Linked DNA regions of Lonchura striata. The protein of the gene in region 3 binds, or shares a complex with, the protein of the main gene of each other region. Links are inferred from orthologs where the notes say so. Each region holds a gene or a part of one and is shown on either strand. Other genes may lie near its edges.

Evidence for each region.
Region 1: POLD2 (region 3) and REV3L share a complex: the UniProt entries of both Homo sapiens proteins name them as parts of the tetrameric Pol-zeta complex. The link is inferred for Lonchura striata from reciprocal best matches to the Homo sapiens genes POLD2 and REV3L.
Region 2: POLD2 (region 3) and POLD3 share a complex: the UniProt entries of both Homo sapiens proteins name them as parts of the both the DNA polymerase delta and DNA polymerase zeta complex. The link is inferred for Lonchura striata from reciprocal best matches to the Homo sapiens genes POLD2 and POLD3.
Region 4: POLD2 (region 3) and POLD4 share a complex: the UniProt entries of both Homo sapiens proteins name them as parts of the tetrameric DNA polymerase delta complex. The link is inferred for Lonchura striata from reciprocal best matches to the Homo sapiens genes POLD2 and POLD4.

Annotation. Positions count from the first base shown.
Region 1 is NC_134605.1:68,476,878-68,483,982, forward strand, and holds the start of REV3L (DNA polymerase zeta catalytic subunit), read left to right. Parts: upstream 1-4,099; 5' UTR 4,100-4,209; coding exon 4,210-4,348; intron 4,349-7,105. UniProt on the Homo sapiens protein: Catalytic subunit of the DNA polymerase zeta complex, an error-prone polymerase specialized in translesion DNA synthesis (TLS). Lacks an intrinsic 3'-5' exonuclease activity and thus has no proofreading function.
Region 2 is NC_134604.1:19,187,213-19,194,635, reverse strand, and holds the start of POLD3 (DNA polymerase delta subunit 3), read right to left. Parts: upstream 3,017-7,423; 5' UTR 2,934-3,016; coding exon 2,874-2,933; intron 1,828-2,873; coding exon 1,772-1,827; intron 247-1,771; coding exon 144-246; intron 1-143. UniProt on the Homo sapiens protein: Accessory component of both the DNA polymerase delta complex and the DNA polymerase zeta complex.
Region 3 is NC_134634.1:5,317,237-5,324,876, forward strand, and holds the start of POLD2 (DNA polymerase delta subunit 2), read right to left. Parts: upstream 3,007-7,640; 5' UTR 2,990-3,006; coding exon 2,770-2,989; intron 275-2,769; coding exon 153-274; intron 1-152. Other genes in the region: GNLY (granulysin), read left to right, coding at 4,610-4,769, 5,709-5,833, 5,910-6,020, 6,100-6,267. UniProt on the Homo sapiens protein: Accessory component of both the DNA polymerase delta complex and the DNA polymerase zeta complex.
Region 4 is NC_134608.1:53,852,457-53,858,466, forward strand, and holds POLD4 (DNA polymerase delta subunit 4), read left to right. Parts: upstream 1-4,303; 5' UTR 4,304-4,386; coding exon 4,387-4,624; intron 4,625-4,703; coding exon 4,704-4,815; intron 4,816-4,907; coding exon 4,908-4,932; 3' UTR 4,933-5,497; downstream 5,498-6,010. Other genes in the region: glycine N-acyltransferase-like protein 3, read right to left, coding at 20-137, 220-346, 433-540, 957-1,034; glycine N-acyltransferase-like protein 3, read left to right, coding at 1,428-1,505, 1,920-2,027, 2,122-2,242, 2,849-2,969, 3,041-3,461. UniProt on the Homo sapiens protein: As a component of the tetrameric DNA polymerase delta complex (Pol-delta4), plays a role in high fidelity genome replication and repair.

The DNA.
Region 1 (7,105 bases), on a different chromosome or scaffold from region 3:
CAGACCTCAGAAACACTGAACATCCTTGAAATCAACAGGAACTCAAACATGACTGACAAAGTGGGTTTTGAAGTTAAGATGTACTGCTGGAAATTTTACCTTTGTGTATAGTCTAAACTCTTATCATCAAATTTTGTTGCACTCGGCTACTATAAAATAGATATTTGAAAATGTGGATTTTCCCTTGGCCTCCATCATGTGTAGTCACTACATGTGTCTATTTATATTTGCATTTATAATTTTTTGTGAACTGCAGATATCATTTTGTGACCAGTTTTTTTAAGTAGCTACAAAGTAGGCATTAAACAAAAATAAAAACTGACATGTCTTTTGTTTTAGAAAACAGGGCAAACCTTTATTGATTTTACTCTATGGAGAAATTATGACTTAAAAGACAGCCATCAGTTATGCTGATAAATAATACTATTAATACTCAAATTTTGATTGTACAGCTGTTTAGCTGTGCATGATTAGAACCAGTTATATATTCAAGAGTGATTATTTTCATGCAAATACTTGGCTGGCTAATGGGGAGAACAGCTGCTGCTTAGCAACTAGAGGAACAGAGAAAGGGGGTGACTTGCTTTGTAACAGAAAATGGCTTGAAACCTTAAGAGAGAGAACATACAGTGTTTGGAGGTACCAGAGAAAATTAGTGGTAGTGCTGTTTACAAGGATGTTTCCTTTTACAATTACTGACACCCTAGGCAAGCAGCATTTTCAGGTAATGAAGTGTAAACTATAAGAAAATTTGTATATCATATATGCATAACACATGTGTGAGTGAACAACAAATAAAACAACTCCTAAAAACAAATACTGACACACAAATTGAAATGTAGGAAACCTAGAAAGAGATTTTGTGTCTGTCATCTATTGAAAGGGTTAAACCAATTTTCAGACTTCAACAACTTAAAACCATCACAAACCAAGCTTTCTGGAAGAAGTGCTCTTTATTTCTGCTGCTCAATCTCAGTCCCTGCACTGCCTCCTCCTCTGTGCAAGCACAGGTTTTCACACCCCTACATAATGAAGCAGATCAAGGACCTGAGTGAGGTTAAAACTAACCCATATTTCTTAGTGGGATTGCTTTTATCTGGCTCATTTTCCAAGTCAAGTTTCTTGTGCAGCTATTCAAATGTTTGCACTGACATGAGGAGGAGGGCAGGGGACCTCCTGTGACAGCGCTGACTCAAACCTTTACTGAAAATACAGTCTTACCTTGGTGCAACCCTGCAGACAAACCTACTGACTTGACTGCAAGACAAAACTGAAAGCAGAAGTGAGCTGCAGGAAACTAGGGAAACTGAAAAGGCACCACTCAGAAAGCATGCAAGTTCCACAAAAGTGTCTGCACAGGTCTAATGTACACGTGGATTACACTATTTATATCAAAAAGGATATTTTTCAAAAAGGATACTTCCTTTTTTTTTTTTTTTTCTGAGTAACATTCAACATTTTCAGAAATCAAATTAATACCTCATATGAACAAGAAACTGGCTCTAGGTTAGGGATCAATTTTTCTTTCTGATTTCAAAACACGGTTCTCCCAGATTTAATAAACAACATAAAAAATGCTGTAATTTTAAATAGAAGACTCTGCATTACATGCTTTAGCAAATCCTGCTTTATGCTTCCAAGAAGTTAGTTATCTCAGCTGTCTACACTGTTTTACTGTGGGCAACTGTTTCTCTTCAGCAGGACTCCCAGGTATGAACTTGTGCTACATCTCACACACCACACTCATTTAGGAGAAACCAGAATCCACCGGTGGCAAATGTTTTGGTTTATCCACCAGCCCAGTGGAGGGACAGATACAACATCATGTTCTCCTGCCTGTGCAGATGACAAAATACAGCAGTGGACTGGTACACCCCAGCACAGAGGAGGACTGCTGATCTACCTTCAGCTCATGCAGACATCAGACCACATCTGCCAGTGTTCAAAGATATTAACCTGTCAGTGAAATGCACAGTGGTGGGAAGACACATTGCTCAGCAAGTTAAGAAGATCATGTGAACAGAAAGAAAACAGAGCATGGAATGGAGTAACACAAGAACTGTTACTGTCGCTACCAAAGTTCTACAGAAAATTAAGGAACTGGATTAGTGAGGGAGCAGTACAAAATGTATTGAAATAACAACAGTTAGAGATGCTGTTTGTTAACATGCCCCACCAGTAAGCTCCTAGTGATTTATCAGCCTTTGTGAAATCTAAGTATTCATAAGAGTATTTTTGCAGTTCCAAAGGTTTTCCAAATATTAGCTTTGCAGATGTAAACCATTGTCAAAAACTGAAGCTGTAGCTCAGTTATTCTTTAGATACAATGAAAATAATTTGGATTTTAACCCTATTTTAACCACTTCTCTAACACAAGATTTCTTGATCACTAGGCAGTTGGATTTTCTTTTTCTGTTCACATAAAAATGAGTTTAAGGAGGAAAACAGATGTGAGCTAGAGAAAATAAACAGCTTACAAAGAAAGAGTAGGAAACCAGTTACCCTTGAGTAGACAGGCAAGCTTCCTGTTCATTACAATGAAAAAATGAAGGGTAGCAACTGCCTGACCTGTCTTTTGTTCAAATCTAAACCCGAAACACATGTAAGCAAATGCAAAACACGTGTTCTACATATTGGACGTTTGTCAGGTTTTATAGATTTGCACATTTGTCTCATATCATCCAGTCCTGCACGCACATGTATCAGCATCACTCTGAGCGCGTTTGAGAGCATTTGGCCTTTTAACTGGCTCATCTCCCACTCCACAAACTCTTTGGATATTTGCTATGTTTGGGGGTTTTTACCCCCGGATCTGCAGCTCTCAGACAAAGAGATTGCAACAGGAACCTTAAACCTAAACACAAGGTTTTTTCAGCGCCTCAGCCTAAAGTCAATCCTGTTTTATGGTTTTCAATAAAAACCTGCACGAGAGCGCTGCAAACCGCAAAGTAAGCGCTCATAAAGGGCGGAGGAGGAGGAGGAGGAGGCAGCAGGAGCGATGGGGGGACGCGGCCGCTGCGGGGCCGAGCCGCCCGCGGGGACGCGGGACGCGACCCCGCCCCCGCCGCTCCGCCGCAGCGCGCCCGGCCCCGCCCGCCCCCTCCGCGCGCCCGGCCCCGCCGCCAATCGCCGCCGGCCCTCCGCAGCCCCGGCCCCGCCCCCTCCGCGCGCCCGGCCCCGCCGCCAATCGCCGCCGGCCCTCCGCAGCCCCGGCCCCGCCCCCTCCGCGCGCCCGGCCCCGCCGCCAATCGCCGCCGGCCCTCCGCAGCCCCGGCCCCGCCCCCTCCGCGCCGCGCGCTCACCCTCACAGCCCGACGGCGCGCGGGCGCCCCATCCCCTCCTCCCGGTCCCGTCCCCGTCCTCGCCCTCATCTTCTTAGGGTGTTTTTTTTCTTTTTGGCTGGCCCCTGCGGCGTGGGGAGACTCACCTCCCCGCCATTCAAAATGGCGGTCGACCCAGCTTAACCCCGTCGTGTTCCGGCAGCGCTGCCTCTCCCGCCCCATCCGCGGCTCGGGATTCCGCAGCCTCACCCCCAGCCCGCGCGGCCGATCGCCGAATCACCGAGGCCGTCCCTCTCTCCCTCCCTGCCTCGTCCCTCGCCACCAGGGGAGGCGATACAAAGATTTTTTCCCCCGCTCCCACGCGCGCTCCCGCCCAGCCTGCCGAGCCCAACCGAAAGGTGGGAGCGGGGGAGCGCGCGTGCGTGTCGGGAGTGACGGACACCTCCTCCGCTCGTTGAGCCCCTTTCCCCCCCAACACATGGCCCGTCCGCCCCCGTCCCCATCCTCCCAGTGGTTGCATCCGTGACGACATCATCATGGCAACAGCAGCTGCAGCCCGGGGCCGGGGCGCCGCCGTCGCCGCCGGGGCGTCCGCGGGGCACGAGCCCGCGCTGTCCCTGAGGGGCGCGCGGCCGCACGGGCTGTAGGAGCGCGCGGGGGGGCGCGCCGCCGCGCACGCGCCCAGAGCGGCGGCGTCGGGCGGGGGGAGCAGAGACACAGACAAGGCGCGCGCGGGGCTGCGCGCGCTCCCGCGGGCGGGCGAGGAACGGCAGGCGCGGGGAGTGCTGCGCTCGCGCGCGCGCTCGCTGCGGCGGCGGCGGCGGCGGCGGCGGGCGGGGGGAGCCGTGCGGGCTCCGCGCTCGCTCCGCGCTCGCTCCGCGCTCGCTCGCTCGGTGCTGTGCTGGTGCCTCGGCGGCGGCCAACAAACATGTTCTCAGTGCGGATCGTGACTGCCGACTACTACATGGGCAGCCCGCTGCCCGGCCTGGACCCCTGCCAGTCCCGCTTCCGAGAGGCCCCGGCCAAACGGGTGCCCGTCGTGAGAGTCTTCGGCGCCACCCCTGCAGGTAAGGGATGACCCCCGCCGCCGCCACCGACGGGCGGGAGGGGACGTCCCCCCGCTGCGGCGCCGCGGGTCGCGCTGGCGCCGGCCCCGCCGCCGCCCACTCCGCTCCCGCTCTTTGTGGCTGGGTCGCGCCCCCCCTCTCCGCGCCCGGCGCCGCCGCTGCGGCGCGTCTCACCTGCCAGCGGCGGCCGCGGCGGCGGCAGGGCAGCGGCGAGGAGCGGGGACCTGCCCCGGGTGCCGCACCGCGCCCGCCGGTGGCCGCGGGGGCTGCGGGCCGCCGGGGCTTTGTGCGGGGCTGCCCCGGGAGAGCCGCGCGGCTGTGCAAACACCGGGAGCGGCCCGTGCCGCCCTCGCTCCCGGTGCCCACCGCCGCTCTCCTGCCCTTGCCGGGAGCTCTCGCTGCGAGAGGGCGAGCGGACGAGGGGAAGCCGCTGAGCGCGGGCACAAGCGGGACTTGTGCGGCACTTGGGAAGTGCGGGCTCGTGTCGCGGCACGGATCGCGCGCGGCCGGAGGCACCGGTGCTGCACTGCAGAGAGGAGCGTCCTGAGCGCCGGCCACATGTTGCCCCCGAGACTCCCGAATGTCACATGCCACTTCACTGCCTCTTCGCCGTGTGGCCTTGTGCCTACAGCCGTCCCGCGTCTCAGATGTGTTTCTGACCAATGCAGACAATACATTCTCAGAACAAATTCTAACAAAGTAAATACTTAGGAAAATTAATTTTATATGTATTGTAGTTTGCCCATACGTTAAATATTAAATTGGAAAAAACCCTTGGCTTTTGAGATACTCGACATAGTAAGCATCATTGCCTGTGATCTCTACACTTAACGCTGTGTAATACTGACCTTGGGAATTAAGGTATTTCTACATATTTTATTGACTGGCTCGGTGAAAATTATCTATTGATGCACATACAATAAATCTTATTCAAGACAAAAAACATGTAATAAAAGAGCATAGCAGAGGTGTCTTTCCCTTCAGGCAGTTATTATAGTAGAGCAGTTATTTTGTTGTATTTTTTGTCAGCTTGGTTTTTTTTTTTTTTTTTTAATCCAGAATTAACTGTCTTCTCTGTTTAAGCACAGAGGAATGTGACATATTCAAGCTGTTGTGTTCTGATGCAACTACAGCTCCAAATTATTAAGTGAATGAGTGGGATTAATAGATACAACATTGAAATAGTGGGACCTATTTTATTGTAGCTCTAATTCTGCATACAAAGGAGATATTATGTAATAATATTTATGTAATGGCAGGAGTAACTATTTCATGATTAAAGAATGTGGAGCCTGAGGTTGTTGGCAGGTAGCAGGATTTTTGTGCATGCATGTGGTTAACTCATTAAGGCTTATTTGCTTTTAAGAAAATGTTTAGGCTATGCCATATCATGAATGTGGCATCATAAAGTAAACAGTGAAGTAGTTTAGTTGTCCAGCTATTAGGAATACTGTAGGAAATCCCTGGCTTCCCCAACCATAAACTTTAGTGTCAGTTTGCATAATAGAAGTGTTTCTAATTTGTCTTTGTTAGAGAAACAATTCACTAGAGTCTGCAAAAGCAGTGTTACTTGTCTATCCTATTTATTTCCTTTTTAAACTTTTAAATTTTTTTATGTTTTGTACCTTTAGTAATGTTTGCTATTAAGCTTCATGAGCTTCTTACTGCATCTCTGCATCATTTTTTTTTTCCTTTTTAGAAAAGCAGACGTGTAATTCTCCCTCTTCAGAGGTGTTGGACCTAAGCACTCCTTGTCAGAAGTACTCTGACAGTGATTTTCAGGCTATTTCTTGAAAGCTGAAATTTAAAGTGAAGTGTAATCACTTACATCTGCACCGACATTTTCTTTGAGGAAAAAGAAATAGTGAAAACAACTTTTAGCATACTGTCTAAGACAATGGGATGTCCTTATTGTTTGTCTTACAGGCAGTGTGATGCTTTTCTTCACTTGAGTTGGTCTGTGTGGGAGCAATCCTTTCTCATTGGGTTTAATGTGTGTGCCTTGCCTCCAGGAAAGGTACTCAGTTGCCTTGTTTCCTGCATGGCAGCAACCTATTATGGCTGTATTGGCTGTTCCACCTCTATCATGATTAACTTTGCACGACTCTTAGTGTGTTTATAGCTGTGTGCCCAAGCTATGCAGGTAATTGGGAGTCAGGTTCAGAACAGACTCCAAATGTCGCCTGCTGAGTGAAGGGGGTTTGATTGGAATGTGGCAGTGGCTTATGCAGACGTTCAGAAAGTCAAACGTTTGGCACTGCTGTATCCTTATGTCCACCAGCAACTAAGGACAGTGGTCCTGAAGGCACGCACCTGTTCTTGCTGCCCCATCTTCTGCACTCAGTGAAGTGTGAGAATGACAGGGATTGCCAGTGTTACCTTTGAAGGTTTTTATGTAATCTAGGACTCAATAACTTGTAAAGGTTTACTGGTACAATCTATAAAATGAAAATGGCTTGTGGTTGGGAGAAGAAAAAGCCAGACTTTTAATTAAGAGTAATGGAAGGATCAGCTTCTAGAATAGACTGCGCTGGCAATAACATTTGACAACTTCTTTATGTCTTTTGAGGAAGAAATCTTGTATTTGGTAAGACTATGCAAATTCTGTCTTGATGTCCTATATCTTTGCATAGTGAGAACTTGAAAGACGAGGAATCAAAATTTTCTTTAAGCCAAAAGATCTGCCTGCTATATTCTGCTATTTTGTGAAATAAAGAGTAAAATTCTGATTACAGTAGCAAAAGGTAAAGTGAGCTG
Region 2 (7,423 bases), on a different chromosome or scaffold from region 3:
TGTCCCTGTCCAGAAGCCCTGGCACACTGCAGCTCCTGTTGCAGAGAGAGCCAGGGCAGCTTTTCATCCCAGGAGCACAGAACGAGGCAGAAGAGACAACACAACCAAGGCTGACAGACTCCTGTGAGAAGGGCACCACTCACAAAGTGTCCATTCTGGAGGAGGTTTCCTGCCACCAGGTAGGTGACGTGAAGCTGAGCTCCCGAGTTCTCCTTGCGTTTCCTCTCTACGTAATCATAGAGCATTCTGCACAAAAGAAACCAGAGTGAGCCAGCAGAGAGGAGAGAGCCCACACTGCACACCCCGAGCAGAGCCAGCCTGGCATGGACACTGGCCACGCAGGCACATTGCTCTCCTCAGGATTCATTTCATTCCCTCAGGCTTCCTTTTCTGAGACCCTTGTGCCTCTGCCACTGCAGAGTCCAGTCCAACAACTACAGAAACCAAAGGGCAAATACATTTAATAGTATATAATACATTTAATAACACATAATAATAAATATAATTAATAAATATAATATTATATGGTATTATATAATACCATATAGTACTATATTATATGAAATATAATGTATTATATAATGTATAACAAGACATTATACATTTATGTCTAATAATAAATATAACAATGTATTTTAGTATAAAAATACATTTAATAGTATGTAATACATATAATAAATATAATATATATATTACATACACTAAATATATGTAATATGTATATTACATACATATATGTAATGTATTACATACATTGTATAACATATAATAAATTATATATTTATATATAATATGCAAAATAATACATATAATACATAATAATACATATAATATATAATAATATATATTGTATATGTAATATCTATATCACATATGTATAATGTATAATATAATATATTTCAATATATTATATATAATTATACATAAAATGTCTTTTTTACTATGAAAGTACATTTAATAGTATATAATACATATAATATATAATAATGTATATAATATATACAACAAATATATTACATATATAATATAGAATATGATATATAATATATATTCCACATAATATATATTTTTAATACATAACATATATAATAATATCTTTTTTAGTATGAAAATACATTTAATAGTATCTAATAGTGCGTCTCACAGCCCCTGGGCAGCCTGTTCCAAAGCCTGTCCCCCAGAAGGGCATTCCTGACACCCCTGGGAGGTTTTGGTGCCTCACTGCCCACTCAGCAAGGCTGGAAGACAGGCAGGCACATGGACTACCACAGCTGGTTGTGCCTGGGAAGACAGGCAGGGTTGGCAAGCATTTCCAGAGGAATCATTTTAATGGGCTCACACCACAATGGAAACAGGAATTGACATGGAACTGACAGGAAATCCTTCCCAACCCAAACCATCCAGTGATACTGTAATCTTATTTTAAACATACACAAGCTGCTAAGACAAAGTGAAAAAGTAATTACTTGTTCCTATGTCAGAAGTCAGCTGTTTGCTTCAAATACATTAAATATAACAGTACAAGTTGCCAATCCCCTGGCCAGTTCTAGTGAGTCAAGAGATTTGTTATTTCCAAAAGAAATGGGGGGAAAACTGTTAAGCTTGGACTATAAATGTGACAGTACTCGTGCAACTTTAAATATTCCATCATACTGAACGAATGCAGTAAATAATAACCTTCCAATTCAGGCAGATTTGGAGACTGACAGAGTATTTCATGCATGTGAATCAGTTTATTGTTTGGGGCTCTGGGGGATGCAGGGAAACCTACTGTTTAGCCTGGTTGACGTGGACGCCCAGGGTGTAGCTCAGCCATTTGTACGTCACCTGGAAAAGGGGAAAAACCCCAAAAAAAACACTTCAATAGCAAAACCTTGGCCTCTCAGTTTGATCAATCTCCCCTCTTTGGCTTGTTGGTCCATGGAATTCCTTGGACACCTCGCTCCCTTGCAAGAAACCCACGGCAGAAGTGAGAGCACCCTGTGCCTCACTGAGCACCCTGAATTCCTGAGAGCTTTCCCAAATGTGTGTCGTCTGGCCCTGGGACGCGGCTGGACATCTCCAGCTGCAAAATCTCAGTGCTGCAATCCCTGTCCTGCCGTGTCATTTTGACCAAGTACATCTCCGACACCTGCTCCTCCTCCTGCTCTGCCCTTTTAAACAACGCCCCAGGCTCTGGGCTGAAAACACAATTAAATTCTCGTTTGTCTGCATTGTTCCTGGAATGAGCTACAAAGCCACAGGCTGCTCTTGTTCTTTGCTGCACCATTTTCTAAGCAAAACCTATTTTATTTTATTTTATTTTATTTTATTATTTTTTTATTTTATTTTATCTCGTTTCTTTTTCTTTCCAAATAAATTTTTGAAATAAACTTGGAAAGGAACAGATCCACGTGGGAAACCATCAGCTTTCTGAACTGCCTTCAAAATAGTTAGGGAAGGGGGGGAAGAGAGAAGGGAAAACAGAGGGAGAGAAGGAAGAGTGGGGAGGAGGGAGGAAGAAGACGGAGAAGGAAGGGAAAAGGAGAAAGATGGGAAAAGGAGGAAGGGGGAGAAAGAAGGGAAGAGAGAACGTAAAGAGGGGAGAAGGAGGAAGAAAAGGGAGATGAAGGAGGGGAGAAGGAATGGGGAAGGAAAGAAGGGAAAGGGAAAGGGAAAGGGAAGGAGAGGAGAGGAGAGGAGAGGAGAGGAGAGGAGAGGAGAGGAGAGGAGAGGAGAGGAGAGGAAAGGAAAGGAAAGGAAAGGAAAGGAAAGGAAAGGAAAGGAAAGGAAAGGAAAGGGGCGGCGGAAGGCGGGGGGTGGGGGGAAGAAGGAAGGAGTGGAAGGAGGAGGAAGCGGGACAGGGAAGGAAGAGGGGAGCAGGCGGCACTCACGACGCGGTTGTGGTCGGTGACGAACTCGTCGATATTCTCCAGGTACAGCTCGTCCGCCATGGCCGCGCCGGGCCCGCTGTCCAGCCCCCGCTTCCCGCCTCAGCGCCGCCGCGCGCGCGCTGCCGCCGCTATGGCAACGGCCCCGCCGCCGACGGCGGCCGCGCGCGGACACGGTTCTCTCAGGAGCGCTCCGCCGGGCCGGGCGGGCCCGCGACTCGCCTCGGTCAGGAGCGCTCCGCCGCACGCTCCCCCCACGGGAACAAGGAGTGGCCGTGGCGCTCCTCAGCTCCCTCTTGTTGGCTGGAGGGTACCTGGCTCCCACCTGGATACCTGCCCTGCCGGCCCGTCACCTCTCCGCCTTTCCTTCCCTGTCCCGCTTCCTTCTCCTTCCACCCCTTCCTCCTTTCCCCCCCTCTGCCTTTTTATATAAAAAAATATATAATATTTTATATAAAATAAAATAATAAAAATAATAAAAATAAAATTACAAAATACAATACAATACAAACTAATAAAATAAAATAATAAAAGATAAAATAAAATAAAATAAAATAAAATAAAATAAAATAAAATAAAATAATAACGCTTCTTAGTGGATTGGGGGAAAACCAAGCTGTAACAGGCAGAATTCCAAAGCAGCCCTGCCCCAGCCACGAGAGGGGTCAGCGGCTCTGCAGAGCTCGGGACAGCAGGGACAGCTCCCGTGCGTGCGGGTGCATGCCCCGTGTCCGGCATGGCAGGGCAGCTCCCGGACCGTCCCTGCCCGTGCAGTTCCCTGTCCGGGACGGCAGGTGCCAGCTGGACACCGCGCCTGCCCGCAGCACTGAGGGACACGCCGTGGGACAGCGCCCTGGGCTTGGGCCGCCGGGAATTGTCGCTGGAGGTGGCGCAGGAGCCCCAGAACCACACGGGAGGAACCCCAGAACCACACGGGAAGAACCCCAAAGCCCTCCAGGATCTTCGAGTGGAATCCTTCCCCCAGCGCTGCCAGGGCCACCACTAACCCATGTCCTCAAGTGCCACATCCAGGGATGGGGATTCACCTGGACAGCCCTTTCCGTGAAGGAATTTCCCCTAATATCCAACCCAAACCTCCTCTGGCACAGCTTGAGGCCGTTTCCCCTTGTCCTGTCCCTTGTTCCTTAGGAGCAGAGGTGCTCCCACTCCCCTTCATCCTCCCTGCTCTGCCTGCACCAGCACCTCTGAAAGGAGGTGCCAGAAGAAGCTGAGCACGCTGAAAAATACCCAATTATCAGCAAATATCTGGGGCTTGCTCCAGACAGGCACAGAGCCCCAGGGAAGAACCCCTGGCTGGGGAGTGCAGTGGTGATTCCACTCCAGGGTAGCCATGCTGGACAGGAGTGTCCCTGGCCCTGGTCAAAGTCACTCATTTCATGAGAACTGTAAGCAGATGCAGATCCTGACTTGAGCACAACAGCTTTTTACCTGGCAATGGTGAGGGAAGGAAATCAGACATGTTTAATAAGTGTTAAAATAAACTCAGAGTATCCCTGTGCTGGAGTGTTTCTCAAGGCTCACAATGGCATTCATTACTTAGCTGGCATCAGGTTTGTTTTGCTGATAACAAAACAATCCACATCCTCTTCCTCCTGTGTGCCAGGCACCTTTTCTCACACTCCTGTTGTCTCTTTTTCTTAATTTCGCTGTAGTTATTCTTGTGCTGTGACATTCCTGGCTTGACGTTTCTGCCTGGTTTACGGAAGGAGTGTGCAGCTCTAAGCATGTTACTCATCTTTTCATTGTTTTTAAGTCTCTTTTCGTCCTTTGTTTTTTCTACCTTAAGTTTCCTGCTTTGAGCTGATTTCATGACCTGGGCTTAGTGTCTGATGAGTGTAAAATAGCACTTTTCACTCTCAGGACACAATGTGTGCTGGCCCTGCAGGCTGGCTTAAGGGTATGAATGAGTGTGAGAGGTAAGAATTCTTCAGCTGAGGATTTCTTTCCTCTCTATTAAAATGATGTGGGATCTGCATCTGCACTCACTCAGACCTGCTTTCTACTCTGAGGGAGCTATGTGGGCACAGATTGAAATGAAAGGTTCGGACTGGACATAACAAGTTATTAGAATCACAGAAGGGGATTGGAATGGGCCCAAACGACCATCCTGTTCCACTCCCCAGCCATGGGCATGGACACCTTCCACTAGACCAGGCTGCTCCTGATCTCCGTGGTGAAATATTTTGAGATCTCTTAATGTAGGCTTGCTTCATTGTCTTTCTTCCTCAGTTGTGCCAGCTCTGAAGCTTCAGTGCCAGCTCCTCTGAGGTGTGAAAGGCAGAGTCAACAAGGCACAAAAAAGGCTCCAAAAGAGCCAAGTTTCTGAAGGACGCACCGACAAGCAGGGCTGGCTCCTCGGTGACGGAGCTGCAGAGGAGCCTCTGAGCAACCTCTGTCCTCACCTTGTCAGGCTGTGTGGAAGTGCCCTGGGATTTGTAATTAGGCACAGTTTGAGACTGGGCTCTACAGTGATTTATACCAAGAATTTTGAGTCCCTTGGAGCCCTCCAGGCCCTGCAAGGGCTCTGAGCTCTCCCTGGAGCCTTCTCCTCTCCAGGTGAGCACCCCCAGCTCTCCCAGCCTGGCTCCAGCCCTCAGAGCATCCCCATGGCCTCCTCTGGGCTCTCTCCAGCAGCTCCATGTTCTGCTGCTGTGTCCCCAGGGGTGGGGCAGCTCTGCAGGTGGGGTCTCACCTCGACATTTCTCTGGTGTTCCCTAAGAACTGCCATCCCTCCCCTGAGCCCTTCAGGAGCATCTTTGCCACAAGCAGTGCTGTGATGGGTGTGTGACCTATCAGTGGTGATTTTGGCTGGTTGGAGTGGTGCTGTCTTCGCAGATGGCAGGGTGACCCCTGGGAGGGGCTCTGGCCAGCTACTGGGCACCTTTCAACAGTGTTGATGAAGGACAAACAACACATCTGAGCTTCCCAAGTGGGAGTGCCAGCTCCTGGGAAGCTCAGAGGAGCGTAAGGCCTGCCGTGTTTGCTCCAAGATGAGCCAAAAAATGACGACTGCCCAGAGAAGTGCAATCAGCACAGAAACACCGGCTCTGACCCGTCTGCCCAGGCCATCAAGGAGCTTCCTTAAGTACTTCCTTACTGCACCCCTGGGGCACAGCCTGTGGTGTGTTTCCCTGCTTTCCTTCCCCTTTGGCACAGCCTTGGGAACGTGCTGCTTTGAGTCAATGAAGGGAACAGGCTGGGGGCAGAGCAGCCCTGCCTGTGGGACACAGACCCCCAGATCCTGCCCAAACAAACCGGGGATCTCAGCCCCAGCCCTTCCCCCCCAGCCTTCCCAGGGAAAGGTGTGTAATATATGATTTAGAATAGATTTGTGCTCAGGACTAAAAAATACAGTATCCTTTTAAATGGAACCACGTGATGGGAAAGAGCAATATACACAGGATGAATTCCTGTCTCAAAAGATGGTTATTCTGAAGGATTATTCTAGAAGATATGCCTTGAATGCTAAGATGAATATTCGTTGCCAGAACAAGATATTCGGGGGGATTACTGTCTAAGAGGATTTCAGCAATGAGAGTATTCTAGGAAAGCCTCTGTTTAGAAGCACCACAAAAAAAGAACATGCATGAATATGTGAAAAAGGACAAAAGGAAACAGGAGAACCACCCCAGAATCCTGTTAACTCTAGAAACAGTATAAAAAAGACCATGTGAAATCAGTACCCCGTGAACTGCCAGGGTATGGTGCTGCATTAGTCCGGACCCAGTTCACCCAGCACCGAATGCCTGGCTCGGCGCTGATTTGCTTCTGGCTTTCCCAATTTTACTTCTATTTGATTTAATAAATTCCTTTAATTATTAAATTGACTGATTCATTTATAACAGGTGCATTCCAGAATGAAATGTTTGTCCTTCCTAGTAAGGTGGCTGGTGCTTGTAGAGCCTGAGTAAGTCAAGATGTTGCCTTTTGCCTCTGCCTGTAGCTCTCCATGAGCTGTGACAGCCCCTCTTGCCAGGCACCTGTTTCACAGCCACCACCTCTGCCCTCCCCTCAGCTTCCTGCTATTAAGCCCCGACTTGCATTGGCCCTAAAGCTCAGAGGGAGGCTCTCCTGCCAGAAAAAAATCAGACTCTGTCCTTCAATGAATTGGTGAGGACTGCACAGGCTCTGCTTGTGTTTACGGCACCCAGAGGAGAAGGTACAACGGGACAGCAAATCATGGACACAACAAAACCCCCAGTGTGCTGTAGAAACGCCCCAGCCCTGGCAGAAGAATAAAAGGTGAGCCATCCGCAGCCCCTTCCATCCCGTTTCCGCCTGGCTGAAAAGCAGGATGTGGACAGTAAATTGGGCAGCAACGATGCACGCCAGTGGCGTGGTGCTGACGAGGGTCCCAGTCCTGTGACACATGGCTCCATGTCCTGCCAGCCAGACAGGAAGAGCCCTGGGCTTTGATCTCCAGGAGAGAACTGGGGGCTTAACCATAAAAACAAGAAAATAACTTGCTGCACACACACTGTTGGTGCAAAATATGAGTCTCTCCTGCCAAGGCAGAGACCTAGAGCTGCTCT
Region 3 (7,640 bases):
CAGGCTGGACACAGGCCATCCTGCTCAAATCTCTGCCAGTTCCCTGGCTACAGCGAGCACAGGGAAGCCATGGAAGCCCAGCTGAGCTCTCAGGTGTGCGGGCACAACTCCCACCCCGAGCTGTGTGGAGGAGGAGGAGGTGAGCCCATTACCTCCTCACTGATCTCCTGCAGGATGGAGGGCTGGAGCTGCATGGACTTGAAGAGCGTCCCCACCACGCAGCACTTCTCTCCCTCGTGCAGCTCCGAGAGCCTCCGCAGCACAACGTCGTTCCCTGTGGAGAGCTGGGGGTCAGCAGCCCCGGGGGGACGGTGGGCACGGCGCGGGGCTGGCGGGAGCAGCTGCAGGGCCCCAGTGCCAAGGTGCTGGGGAATTTTGGGAAGCCTCCTGCTTCTCCGAGGTGCTGGGGAGTTTTGGGAAGCCTGCTGCTTCTCCTCGAGGCACGGCGCCCAGCAGACATGTGTGGGCCAGATGGGGCCGAGGAGCATTCCAGAGGCTGCAAGCCTGCAGGCATTTCCTCTGTGCTGGGGGGAAGCTGGGTCATGGTGCTGTGTTAGCTCCCTGTAACTGCTCTGCTCTGCCCAGGAAGGGCCCACGAGGCACCTTGGGCAGGGGGCTGCTGTTCCTGCTCCTCACCCAGGGGATAACCCAAACATCCTGGAGATGACAGGCAGGAGATGACAAAACACCCCCAAACCTGATCTCTGCCAGGGCCAGATCCTCTGCCCCAGACCCCTGCTGGAATTCAGGATCCCCATCCCTTCCAGAGGAGGTGCTGGCATGCTGACAGGTCCCTGGGCTTTAGGCAGGGATCCACAGGGGATGCAGGCTGGGAGGACCTCGGGAGCTGCAAGAAACATTGCAGGCCCGGCTGCACCCACTTTGTGGCTGAGGAGCAAAAATCTCCCTCACCACAAGGTGAGCCCAAAACTTCTTACCCCACCCCTGGGGACCCAGAGGTGCTCCAGCCCCATCCAGTGTGTGTCCTCCCATCCAGTGGGACTGTCATTCCCTGTTTAAACCAGCCTGTGAAGTCCATCCTGAGCCTCAGGCCCCGGAGAGGAGCAAGGAACCTGCTCCTGGTCTCCTCTCCCAAAACAACATTGCCTGCACCAGCTCCTCGTCCTTTCTGGGTGACACTTCTCCCAAAAATCCCACTTTGCTCATCACGCGCTGCTGAGCGTGACTCTTGTCCCAGGGAGAGCACCCCGCTGCCATCCCTGGCACCCCACACTGGAAACATGGATTCTCGAGCCCAGGAATGCAAACACTCTGAGTCAGAACAAAAACAATCCCGTTGAAGTCTCTTATTTTTGGCTCAAACTCCCCAAAATGTGTGTTCAGGGGGGAGGGGGCTGTGCTCTCCAGATTTCTGCCTGCAGGCGTTTCCTGCTGGGAAACAAACCCCAAAATCTGGTCCCGTCCCAGGACTCCAGGAGGTGGAGTTTACAAACCACTGGATCCTGTCACACTTGGCAAAGCGCAGGGTGGCCAACCAAAGACCAGCGCTGGCTTTTCTTCCACGCAGCCCACGGGGCTGGGGAGAGCACAAGAACAGGCGTCCGGCCCAAAAGCTTCCACTGAAGGGGTTTTTGCCCATAGAAGGGCAAAGCTGAAGGAAATTCGATCTCGGGCCGGGGAGGGGGGGCAGAGCCCCAGCAGCCCCAGTTGCTTCATCCCGTGGATGGAAACTCTGAGCGTGAGGGTCCCACCCGCAGACCACAACCCCCCCAGGACAGGAAACACCCCCCCGGCACAACCAGCACCTCTCACCCCTGTGCACCCTCCTGTGCCCCACTTCCTGGCCAGGGCCCCCCAGCCCCACCTTGACAAACCTCACACTCAACTCCTGCTCCCTGAAATGTGTGGGGCAATGTGACCAAGGCAATGGGGCTCTCCCTGCCCACACCCCCCTTCCATCTGTGATGGGAAATGCAGTTTGTCCCAAGGTCAGCACTCCAGGTGGGAGCTGCAGCAGGATTGCCACATAATCCACCTGCAAATGGATGGCCCCATCATCCCTGTGCATGCCAGAGCTGGGGGCTGAACTGGCTGTGCTGCACAGCCCCTGCCAAGGGTAAAACGCTGCTGGGGACTGGCACAACTGGGTACACTGGAGCTGCTCAGGTTGCAGGAAGGTTCTGGGTGGATCCCAGCCTGGCAGGGATGGACTCCCCCAACAGGGATGGATCTTGGCCCCAGGGTACGTCCAGCCTGAGGAACACTCATCTCTGCACTCCAGATATAAATCTGGTCAAACACCGAGATAAAACCTGAAGGCTTTAAGCTCCACAGATGTTTGCTGCCCAGGCCACCACTAACCTACGCTCCCAAGTGCAACATCCACACAGCCGTTACTTCCCCACAGGGATGGGGACTCCAGCACTGCCCTGGGCAGCTTTGCCAGGGCTGGACAGCCCCTTCCATGAAGGAATTTTCCCAATAGCCAACCTAAACCTCTCCTGCTGCACCTTCAGGCTGTGTCCTCTTGTTCTGCCCCTGCTCCCTGGGAGCAGAGCCCAACCCTCCCACTGGCTGCTGCCTCCTGCCAGGAAATTATGGAGAGGCAGAAGGTTCCCCTGAACCTCCTTTTCTCCAGCCTGAGCCCCCCCAGCCGCTCCCCCTGGACACTCAGTGTTTTTCCAGGGCAGTGTTTTTTCAGGGCAGTGTTTTGTTTTTCCCGGGGCAGTGTTTTTCCTCGGCAGTGTTCTGTTTCTCCCAGGGCAGTGTTTTCCCCTTTCCCCCGTGCTGAGGGGTTCCCGGGCTCACCCCATCGGCTGCGAGCGCGCCGCTCCAGGCCAGGCCGCATGCCCGCAAGGCGCACGGCGTAGATGTGCGAGTACTGCCGGGCAAAGCTGCGCTCGCCCAGCTGGAAGGGCTGCGAGCAGTCCGAGTACCCCGACACAGCCACCCTGGGGAAGGTGGGGGGCTCGGCCGAGGGTGGGGCCAGCAGCCCCTGCGCCGTGGCGGCCGCCTGCTCGGAAAACATGGCGTGGGGCTCCAACGATGGGTCTGGAAAATAAACGGGTGAATTGAGACTCTGGCTCCCACCCAAGGCACAACATCCCCCTGAAAATGATCTTCCCCACCCCCAAAATACCATGTGCGGGTCTGACCCTCCCTGCAGCACTCTGCAGCCCTCAGCCCTCCTTCCTCCCCTCTCCTCCCAACGCAGGGCAGCCCCAAACTCATCCTGGTGACCGCACCATCCTCTCCTACAATGCCCCCACAGAGCAGGACACCTGAAGTCCCCACAAAACACACCGTGGCCACCACATCCCCACAGCCACCCCTCTTCCAGATGGACCCAGGCCCGGCACAGCCCCCGGACATGCCCCAGTGCCCCCCAACAAATGTGCTCCCACCGGCACAATCCCCCTCCCCGCTGGCACCAGGACCCCCGGGCACGCAGGAGCCACCCCCAGCCCCAACGGTCCAGCCCCCCGGGGCTGCAGACCCCACAGGATCCCCCGGGGCTGCAGACCCCACAGGATCCCCCTGTACCCGCAGACCCCACAGGATCCCCTGTACCCGCAGACCCCACAGGATCCCCTGCACCCGCAGACCCCACAGGATCCCCCGGGGCTGCAGACCCCACAGGATCCCCTGTACCCGCAGACCCCACAGGATCCCCCTGTGCCCGCAGACCCCACAGGATCCCCTGTACCCGCAGACCCCACAGGATCCCCCGGGGCTGCAGACCCCACAGGATCCCCCGGGGCTGCAGACCCCACAGGATCCCCCGGGGCTGCAGACCCCACAGGATCCCCTGTACCCGCAGACCCCACAGGATCCCCTGTACCCGCAGACCCCACAGGATCCCCCGACCGGGTCTCCCCCGTCCCCGCACGGGGACAGCCGCTCGGTCGCGGCCCGGTCCCGCCGGTCACGTACGGGCTGGGGGGTCGCGGGCCGAGGGTCGGTGCCGGTCACGCTCGGGCCCGGGGCCGGTCACGCTCGGGCCCGGGGCCGGTCACGCTCGGGCCCGGGGTCCCCGCCGGTCACGCTCGGGCCCGGGGCCGGTCACGCTCGGGCCCGGGGTCCCCGCCGGTCACGCTCGGGCCCGGGGCCGGTCACGCTCGGGCCCGGGGTCGCCGCCGGTCACGCTCGGGCCCGGGGCCGGTCACGCTCGGGCCCGGGGCCGGTCACGCTCGGGCCCGGGGTCCCCGCCGGTCACGCTCGGGCTCGGGGCCGGTCACGCTCGGGCCCGGGGTCCCCGCCGGTCACGCTCGGGCCCGGGGCCGGTCACGCTCGGGCCCGGGGTCGGTGCCGGTCACGCTCGGGCCCGGGGCCGGTCACGCTCGGGCCCGGGGCCGGTCACGCTCGGGCCCGGGGCCGGTCACGCTCGGGCCCGGGGCCGGTCACGCTCGGGCCCGGGGTCGCCGCCGGCACCGGGACCGGGTCCCGCCATGGGGGCGGGGCTGCGGCGGGAAAAGGCGCGAACGCCGCGCGCGGCCAAGTGACGTCAGAGCCGGCGCGAGATGCGCTGAGGGGCGGGGCCAGAGCCCCGGGCGGGACCGGGCGGGACCGGGCGGGACCGGGCGGGACCGGGCGGGACCGGGCGGGACCGGGCGGGACCGGGCGGGACATGGAGGGGCCATAGCGGGACATGGAGGGGAGCAGGACACGGGACAGCGCGACAGACACCGGGACACCAAGACACCGGCACCGACCCGGGGCCCTTCGGAAGCCGTGGGGTGAAGGGCACGCGTGGGATGAAGGACAGGCGGGGGATGAGGGGCACACGTGGGATGAAGGACACACGAGGGGTGAGGGGCGCACCGTGACCGACCCCAGGGGGGACACCGGGACCGACCCCAGGGGGAACACCGGGACCGACCCCGCGGGCACACTGCGCCCTTGGGCTCCCCAGAGCCCGGAGGGGGCCAAGGCGGAGCCGGGACAGCCTCCCGATGTCGGGACGGATCTCGGGGTCTGGGCTGTCCCTCCCGCCCCACTCGTGGGATTTCCCCGAGGGCCGAGGCTGGGTGCTGAGCTCCCCAAGTCCCCCCGTAACCCCTTCCTGCGGGGTGGAGCTGTGAGGCAGGAAGGGCCCTGGGGAGCAGCCGTGCTCGGTTCTCAGGGGTTTGGGTTTTGGGGTTTTGGTCCCCCACCCCCCAGCGCTCTATAAAAGGTGTCGGGACGCAGGCAGGCACCCGCTGTCAGTGATCTGCTGTGGGCTCGCCATGTCTGCCACCTTCCTGCTGCTGCTGCTGCTGCTGGCAGGTGATGGGGACCCTCCTGACGGCCACCCCGAGGTGGACGGGACAGGACACGGGACGAGGGGGATGGCAGCCTGGAGGATTGAGCTGCGGGGCTGGGCTCTGTGTGGGGACCTGTGTGTGATGGGGATGGGGTCTGTGTGGGGACAGGCACTCAGGGATGTGGGAAGGAGGACAAGGGGACAATCAGGAGGGATGGTGGGGGCTGCAGGGATGGGAGCAAGCACCTGGGGGTGGCAGGGATGGGCTCTGCCCAAGCACCCAGGGGTGATGGGCACGGTGCCCGTGTTGGGACCGGCACCTGGGGACATTTGGGGACGGGGTCTATGTGGGGACCTAGGAGCAGTGGGAACAGGAGGATGTGAGCACAGGCATGAGGGATGGTGGGGATGGGGTTGAATACCTGGGGCAGGTGGTTTAGGAGTTTGGGAATTCAGTGATGGGCACCCAACCTGCATCCACGCTCACTGTCCTGTCCCCGTGCAGCAGCAGAGGCCACGGCACCCCTGCCCTGCCAGGGTGACCCAGCGTCCGGGTGCTGGGACACGGCCACGGCCACGCGCTGCGGCTGGGAGCAGCAGTGCCAACAGCTCCGCGACAGCCTGGCCCTGGTGAGACCCCGACCCCAAGTACTGCCAGGGCCACCAGGGGTCCAGGCAGCCCTGAGGGTGTTCTGTGTCCCCACAGGGGAATGCGGCTGACGTGGACGGCGTGGGGCAAAGTGGGGGGATTAAGTGCAGCCTGTGCACCAAGGTCCTGAAGAAGATACAGTCGCTGGCAGGTGACGACCCCGACGAGGTGAGGGGTGATGAGGGTCTGGGGGGCTGGGCTAGGGGCCCTCTCCCCGTGGCCCCCTGACCTGTGGTGGCTTTGGCAGTCGGCGGTGGCAGCAGCAATGCGGAAGGGCTGCCGGGCGCTGGGCCGGGTTGTGGGCAAGGTGTGCAAGCGGATAGTGAACAAGTACCGGGACAAGATCAGCGAGGCGCTGCAGAACGGGGAGACGCCCCAGGAGATCTGCAGTGCCATGGGCATCTGCCGCTCCTGAGCACGGTCAGTGCCCACTCGTATCCTGATCCTGCATCCCATGGGCCGATCCTGCATCCTGTGTCCGGCACCTCGCATCCTGCGTCCCCATGTCCCATACCCTGTGCCCTGCACCCCACATCCCCATCCTGCATCCTGCACCATGTCTTGCACCCTGCATGGTAATCCCACAGCCCCTGTCCTGCACTGTGTTGTGCACCCTACAACTTGATCCTTAACCCCCATCCTGCAGCCACATCCTGATCCTGCACCCCCATCCTGCACCCACATCCTGATCCTGCACCCCCATCCTGCACCCACATCCTGATCCTGCACTCCACATCCTGATCCCATACCCCCCTCTGCATCCCACACTTTGCACCCTACATCCCTTACCCCATGCCTGCCAACGGGGTGGGAGTGTGCTTGTGGTTTCTGAACCTTCCCTGCTGCAGGCTGTAGGGTGCTGGCCCTGACTCACGCCCTGCTCTTTCCTCTCTCCACAGGCACAGCCCCGAGTGCCCCCAAACCCCGACGCCCCTCCAGCCCCTGATGCCCCCGCAGCCCTGGCATCCCCCTCCCCCTCAGTAAAGTCCCTCCTCTGGCTCCTGGGTCTTGTTTGTCTGCGCTGGGGGGACACGGTGACACAGCTGTATGGCACCAGGCACTGGCAGGGGACAGTCTGGGCCTGGCCTGCCCGCAGCAGGGCCAGGGTGGCACCGAAGGTGCCAGCGGTTCTGTGGGGATGCGTCTCATGTGGGTTGGAGCGAGCGGTTCCTTTCGCACGCCTGGGTGGTCCCAGCTGTCATGGTCCCCTCGCTGCACCCTGTGCCTGGCACTGCAGCCGTCCCTGCACGTGGCACTGTCCCTCGTCACCCACTTGTCACCAGCACTGCCGTGGGCTTGGGATCGTCCTCACTGGCCGGCACTGGCACTGTCCGCGCTGAGCACGGGGAATCCCTTCTGCAGTCCCAGCCAATCAGAGCACAAGGAATCCCTTCTGCAGTCCCAGCCAATCAGAGCATGGGGAATCCCTTCTGCAATCCCAGCCAATCAGAGCACAGGGAATCCCTTCTGCAGTCCCAGCCAATCAGAGCACGGGGAATCCCTTCTGCAGTCCCAGCCAATCAGAACACAGGGAATCCCTTCTGCAATCCCAGCCAATCAGAGCACGGGGAATTCCTTCAGCAGTCCCAGCCAATCAGAGCACAGGGAATCCCTTCTGCAGTCCCAGCCAATCAGAGCACAGGGAATCCCTTATGCAATCCCAGCCAATCAGAGCACGGGGAATTCCTTCAGCAGTCCCAGCCAATCAGAGCACAGGGAATCCCTTATGCAATCCAGCCAATCAGAGCACGGGGAATCCTTTTGGCAGTCCCAGCCAATCAGAGCACG
Region 4 (6,010 bases), on a different chromosome or scaffold from region 3:
CCCAGTTCCCCTCACTCACTGCCTGCGGGGCTGGGGGGGCTCAGGGCTCATCAGTGCCCGGTACCGGATCATCTCCACCTTCAGCCCCCTGGCACTGGCCACCTCCTGCACGGCCTCGTCCAGCCCATCCTGCATCCCTGAGACACCCTGTCTGTCAGCCAGACAGGGGACCCAGATGGAGGGTAGAGGAGCCCTGTGTCCCCTCAGTGCCATCCTTACCCAGAATCTGGAAGGCTCTTTCCTGGGTCACCGCCTCAGTGCCCTCCAGCAGAGCCTGCAGGGCTCCCTTGTCCCGGTAGAACACAGACAGCTGGTTGGAGTAGTAGTCCCTGGGGTCCCTATGGTCCTGGGAGGGACATGGAGCTGAGGGTGGCACCCCACTTGCCAGGCCCCTGGGGTGTGGGGTGCTGCTGTCAGGACAGGGGTCAGCACCTCTGGGCGCAGGCGGGTCAGGACAATGCTGAAATGGGGCCAGGAGTCCACCAGCACCTCGTGGGAGGCCGGGTTCCCCCTGGCCACCGTCATCACAGTCCCCAAGACCTGCACAATAAGGTCATTGTCACCTGTAGGACAGGGGAGAGGGGACAAAGGGGTGCCCAGAGTCCCTCTGGTCCCCTCACCAGCAGGGGAGAGGGAGCAATAGCATCCCCGGGGTCTGCAGCAGGGCAGGGGAGAGGGGACAGAGGGGTCCTTGTCACCACCAGGGCAGGTGGGGAGGCAGAGGGGTCCCAGGGTCCTCATCAATGGTAAGGCAGAGGAGAGGGGACAGGGGACAGGGACAGAGGGGTCCCGGGAATCAGCAACACTGACAGGACAAGGATGAGGGGACAAAGGAGTCCCCAGGGTCCTCACCACCGGCAGAGAGGGAGGGAGGGAGGGACAGAGGGGTCCCCAAGGACTCTGTCACCAGCAGGACAGGGCAGGGGGGACAGAGGGATCCTCGGGGTGGCTGTCACCGGCAGGGTGGTGGGCAGGCTCTTCCGCAGGGTCTCCTCCAGGAGCTGCAGCTGGGCTGGGCACCTCAGGATCAGCATGGCTTCGTGACCGTGGGGCAAGTGGTGACACTGAGGATCCGTGGGGAACTGGTGGCACTGAGACAATGTCCCAGAGTGTCCCAGCTGAGCACCTGTCCCCAGGCAGCCATAAAGCTGGCCTGGTGCCCAGTGTTCAGCGGGATGGACCCTGCCCGCTGCCCCCCAAGGCAGGGGGCACTCGCTGGCCCGTGACAGCTGGTGGTAACCATTGTCACCGAGTGCCACACAGTCTCCAGACTCTGACTCCACAGCCCCCTGGAACCCACAGACTCAGGACTGTTGCAGGGTGAGTGCTGGAGGAGATGGGGACCGTGAGGAAAGGGACGGGGACAGGGTCAGGGGCCATGCCTGGTGGCCCTGTCCCCCTGTTACTGAGGGTCTCTCAGCAGGACAATGAAGATCTTGACATGCTCAGCCCAGCTGCAGCACCTGGAGGGGATCCTGAGGAAGAGCCTGCCCCTCGCCCTGCCGGTGATGGGGACCCCACTGTCCCCACCCCTGCCCTGTGCCACGATAGGGACCCCAATGCTACCCCCATCCTGCCGGTCACAGGGACCCTGCTGTCACCCCTGCACTGTGCCATGACTGGGACACCAGCGACACTCATCTGTTGCTGTGATGGGGACCCCAATATCCCCCTTGCTGTGAGGGAGACCCCAATACCATCCCTGCCCTTTGCCCTCCTGCTGGTGATAGAGACTCCCGTGTCATTAGGAACCCTTTTGCCACCCTGTCCCCACACCTGCCCCCCTCCCATCAGCTCTGACCCCCTATCTGCTCCCACAAACCCCCTAGCTCTGGTCCCACATGTGCCCCTGTGTCCCCCATATCAAGCCCCCATCCCTGACCCCCATCTGTCCCCTCCTTGTTCCCCTTTTCCCCCAGGTCTTCGGGGCAGTGCTGAACATCAACCGGGGCAACCCTGGCCACTTTGAGGTGCTGGTGGACAAGTGGCCTGAATTCGGTGCCATGCTGGCCCGGCCCAGTGGAGAGGTGGCCAGTGGGGACATGGGGCACTGCAGGAGGGGGGTGACATGGTGCCCTAGCACGTGCGAAGTGTGCTCAGAGCACCCCTGGGTGCCCCCAGGTGCCGGTGAACGATGGCTACTGGAACACACAGGCGGCGTTTTACCGGGACCTGGGGGCGTACCGGGAGCTGCTGGAGACCCCCGGCTGCCTGCGCTGGGACGCTGCCTTCACCCTCATCGGTGGCCTGGGGACACTGGGGTCTTGGGGGGGTCCTGGGCATGCTCTGGGCTGCACTTGGGAGTGTGGGACACTGGGGAGAGCTGTTGGAGGCAGGGAGGAACTGGGAGGTACTGGTGAAGGAAATTGGGGGTGCTGGGGGACACTGGAGATGGGTGTTTGGGTGCTGGAGAGCACTGGAGGCCTGATTTGGTGTGCTGGGGTGGGGTTTGATGGGTGATACCAGTGGGAAGTGTTGGGGTGGGATTTAGGGGTGCTGGGGAGCACCAGGGAATTGCACTGGTGCAATTCTCTGAGCATCCTGGAAGCAGGGTTCAGGGGGTACTGGGGTTGAACTTGGGGATGCTGGGGGCACTGGGAAGCACTGCAGCTGGATTTGTGGGTCCTTGGGGACACTGGGGAGCGCTGGGGTTGGATTTGGGCATGCTAGGACCAGGACCGGGGTACTGGGCAAAGTGGAAGGAAGGATTTGGGTGCTGGGAATAGAGGCTGAGATTGCAGGCAGCCCCTGGGCACAATTAGGAGGACACTGGGGTCACATAGAGGGGCTGGGGACAGAGATGGTGGGGTACAGGAGGAACAGGACCCCATGACATCCCCTTCCCCAGGGATACAGGATGGGCTGGCCACGGTGTCCCAGGACCTGGCGGGGAGGAAGGGTGTGGAGCTGGACATTGTCGAGTACTACTCCTACTGGCACCCTGACCCCAGCACCGTGCCTGAGCCCCGGTGAGAGCCCCCCACCCTCGACCCCACACGGGAACACCCCTGAGCCCCCCACTGACCCCTGCCTCACCCAGGCCAGCCCCCGGGGTGCGTGTGGGCTCCCTGAGCCCCTCGCACGTGGACCTGCTCAACGAGACGTGGCCCTACGGGGGGAACGCCCGCAGCCGGCGCTTCCTGGCTGAGATTTTGGGGCGCTTCCCGCAAGTCTGCCTGCAGGACGGCAGCGGGCAGCCCATCGCCTGGGTGCTGACGGATCATTTCGGGACGAGCACCCACAGCTACACCCTGCCCGAGCACCGGCGGCGCGGCCACATGCAGGTGGCACTGACGCTGGCGGCGCAGCGGGCGCAGGCCCGCGGGTTCCCCACGTTCGGGCACACGGCGCTGGGGAACCGGCCCATGCAGCGGCTGCAGGAGCTGCTGGGCCACCAGCGCCTGCCCGGGGTCTGCCGCTACATCCTGCACAATCCTGGCCTGCACAGGGACGGGCCCTGAGGGAGGGCCTGCTGTCCCCTCTCTGTGCCAGCCTCACATTAAACAGCCGTGTGGCATCTCTGATGGCTGCTGTGGGGTTTTGTGTCCCCCCAGCGCTGAGCGTTACAGCGGTGGCACAGCTCGGTGGCTCACGTGTCACCGCTGAGGCACACAGCTGGGTCCCCTGGGAGCCACCCCTTTCCAAGGCACGCATCTCGGTTATTCTCAGTTTCCCAAGGGAGGGCTGAAAGCCGCAGGCAAATCTGCACTGGTTGCACCTGCGGTGTCACCCCCTCAACCGGGGCGGTGTCACCACAGCTGGGGACAGGCAGGCACTGGAGGGACAGGCAGTGACACACAGGGCAGAGTGGGACAGGGCAGAGGGTGACAGTGTCACAGGGTGAGTCGTGGTTTGGGGGACTGATGGGGACAGACAGGGGGTGACAGTGATGGAGGAATGCTGTGATGGGGGTGACATTGTCCAGGGGGACAGGGAGAAACCACAGAGGTGACAGTGCTGTAGTGATGGGGGTGACAGGGGTGACAATACCAGAGGGTAGTGGGCACAGCTGGGGATGACAGTGCCTGGGGTGACAGTCACTCACACGGGTGACAGTGCCAGGGGAAAAGGGAACACTGGGATGGAGGCGACAGTACCCTCGGGGTGCCAGAACTGCCACGGGGGTGACAGTGCGGCTGCTGGCAGGGACAACACGGGGGGTGACAGCACCCGGGGACAGCCGACGGGTGCCGAGGGGGGCGAGGGACCGGGACCACCGCGAGGGTGGACCGGCCAAGGCGGCAGCGTCCGAGGGCGCCCACGTCCGGCTCCCCGGCCCGGCCCCGCCGCTTCCGCCCGGCCATGGGCAGGGGCGGGTCCCTCGCTGGTTCCCGGTATTGGCGGGTCCCGCCCGGTTCCCGGTATTGGCGGGGCCGTGCCAGCTCCATGTCGCGCAGGGCCATGGAGCAGCCCCGGCGCATCACCGACTCCTTCCCGCGGCGGCGGGGCCCGCGGCGGCCCCCGGGCAGGCTCAAGAACAAGAAGGACGAGGACAAGGACAAGGACAAGGCGCAGCTGAAGGTGCGGGACTGTCCCCGCGCTCCCTCGCAGCCCCCTCCGGACCCGGCGCTCATGGAGATGTTGCGGCGCTTCGACCTCTCCTGGGAATACGGACCCTGCACCGGTGAGCACCCCCGGTTCCCCCGGTTGTCCCGGTGGCCCCGGGCTCCCCTCGGCCCGGCTGAGCCCCCGGTATCCCGCAGGGATCACCCGCCTGCAGCGCTGGGAACGGGCACAAGAGCTGGGGCTGAGCCCCCCCGGCCCCATCCGTGACGCCCTCCTGGAGCACCGGGACAACCCCGACGTCACCTACAGGTGGGTGTGGGATGGGAGGGTGGTTGGGGGGCACGGGGCATCCCCTCCCGGTGCCCCCCGCCCTTCCCGCTGACCCCGTTGTGTCCCCGCAGCCTCTGGCACGAGTACGAGCTCTGAGCCAGCACGCCGAGGGAGCGGGGGACCCATTCCCGACGCCCCCAGACCCCATTCCAGGGACACCGGCTGGATTAAAGTTGGTGTGAGCGAAGGAAAGGGTGCCGTGTGCTGCCTGGGGGGCACGGGGTGGGGTGAAACCCTTGGGGTGCAGGGGGAGGGCAGGAATTGCATCTCCCCCCAAAAAAGATGGGTGGGGTGTCCAGTCACGCAGTTTAATTCCACCCAACTGGGACTCAGGGAGAAAAATGTGTTCTTGGGCAGAGAAAGGGAGGTGGGATTTTCTTCCCCCAGGAATGGGGTGAAAAAATGAAGAACGAGGTATAAAATCAGGTGAAAGTGAGCACAGGGGTCTGAGGCAGGTGGCTGTGGATGGTGGGGATGCCCTGCAGCGGGGTGGGAAGGGTGACAGTGTCCTGTGGGATTCATATGTTTACTAGCCCGAATGAGCAGCTTTGCTGTGTGCAGAATGATAAATAACAGGATGTATCTGTTAATTATTCAGGTTATCGATGACTTAATTCACCAGCTCTTTCTGTTGTTTCATTAATAAAATAAATTGTTTCTATCTCTCGTGGGTCTAGCATTCATTAAATGCTAGTGCACCCACTAGAATATATTTAATTATTTTTTGTTGATTGGTTTGGTGCTTTTTATTAACTTTAATTTGGGGGATATGGGTATTTATATGGTGGACTTTTATAGATAGTCTTTTTATCTTGGTAGTGATGTCTTTTTAATTTTTAGCAGTCTAATTTTTTTTTATGCTGCTAATTAGTCTTTTTAATTTTTTTCTAGCTATCCTCACAGAGTACTGGTTACTATTTATGAATTAGTATAGAGGTAGAGTTTTGGCTTTAGTGCAGCATTGGAGCCAGCTATCACCTGGGATAAGGTGGGATGGGTTGGGATGGGGTGGCATGAGGTGGAATGGGGTGGGATGGGTGGGGACCACCCACAGCTCCCATCCCACTTGCACTGCAGGCTCCCAACCCTCTGGATTGCATTATCCAGCTGGGTCTGGTCCTGCCGTTGGAGCTGCAGTCCCTTGGATATCTTCTACAGACAGGACATAATTCGT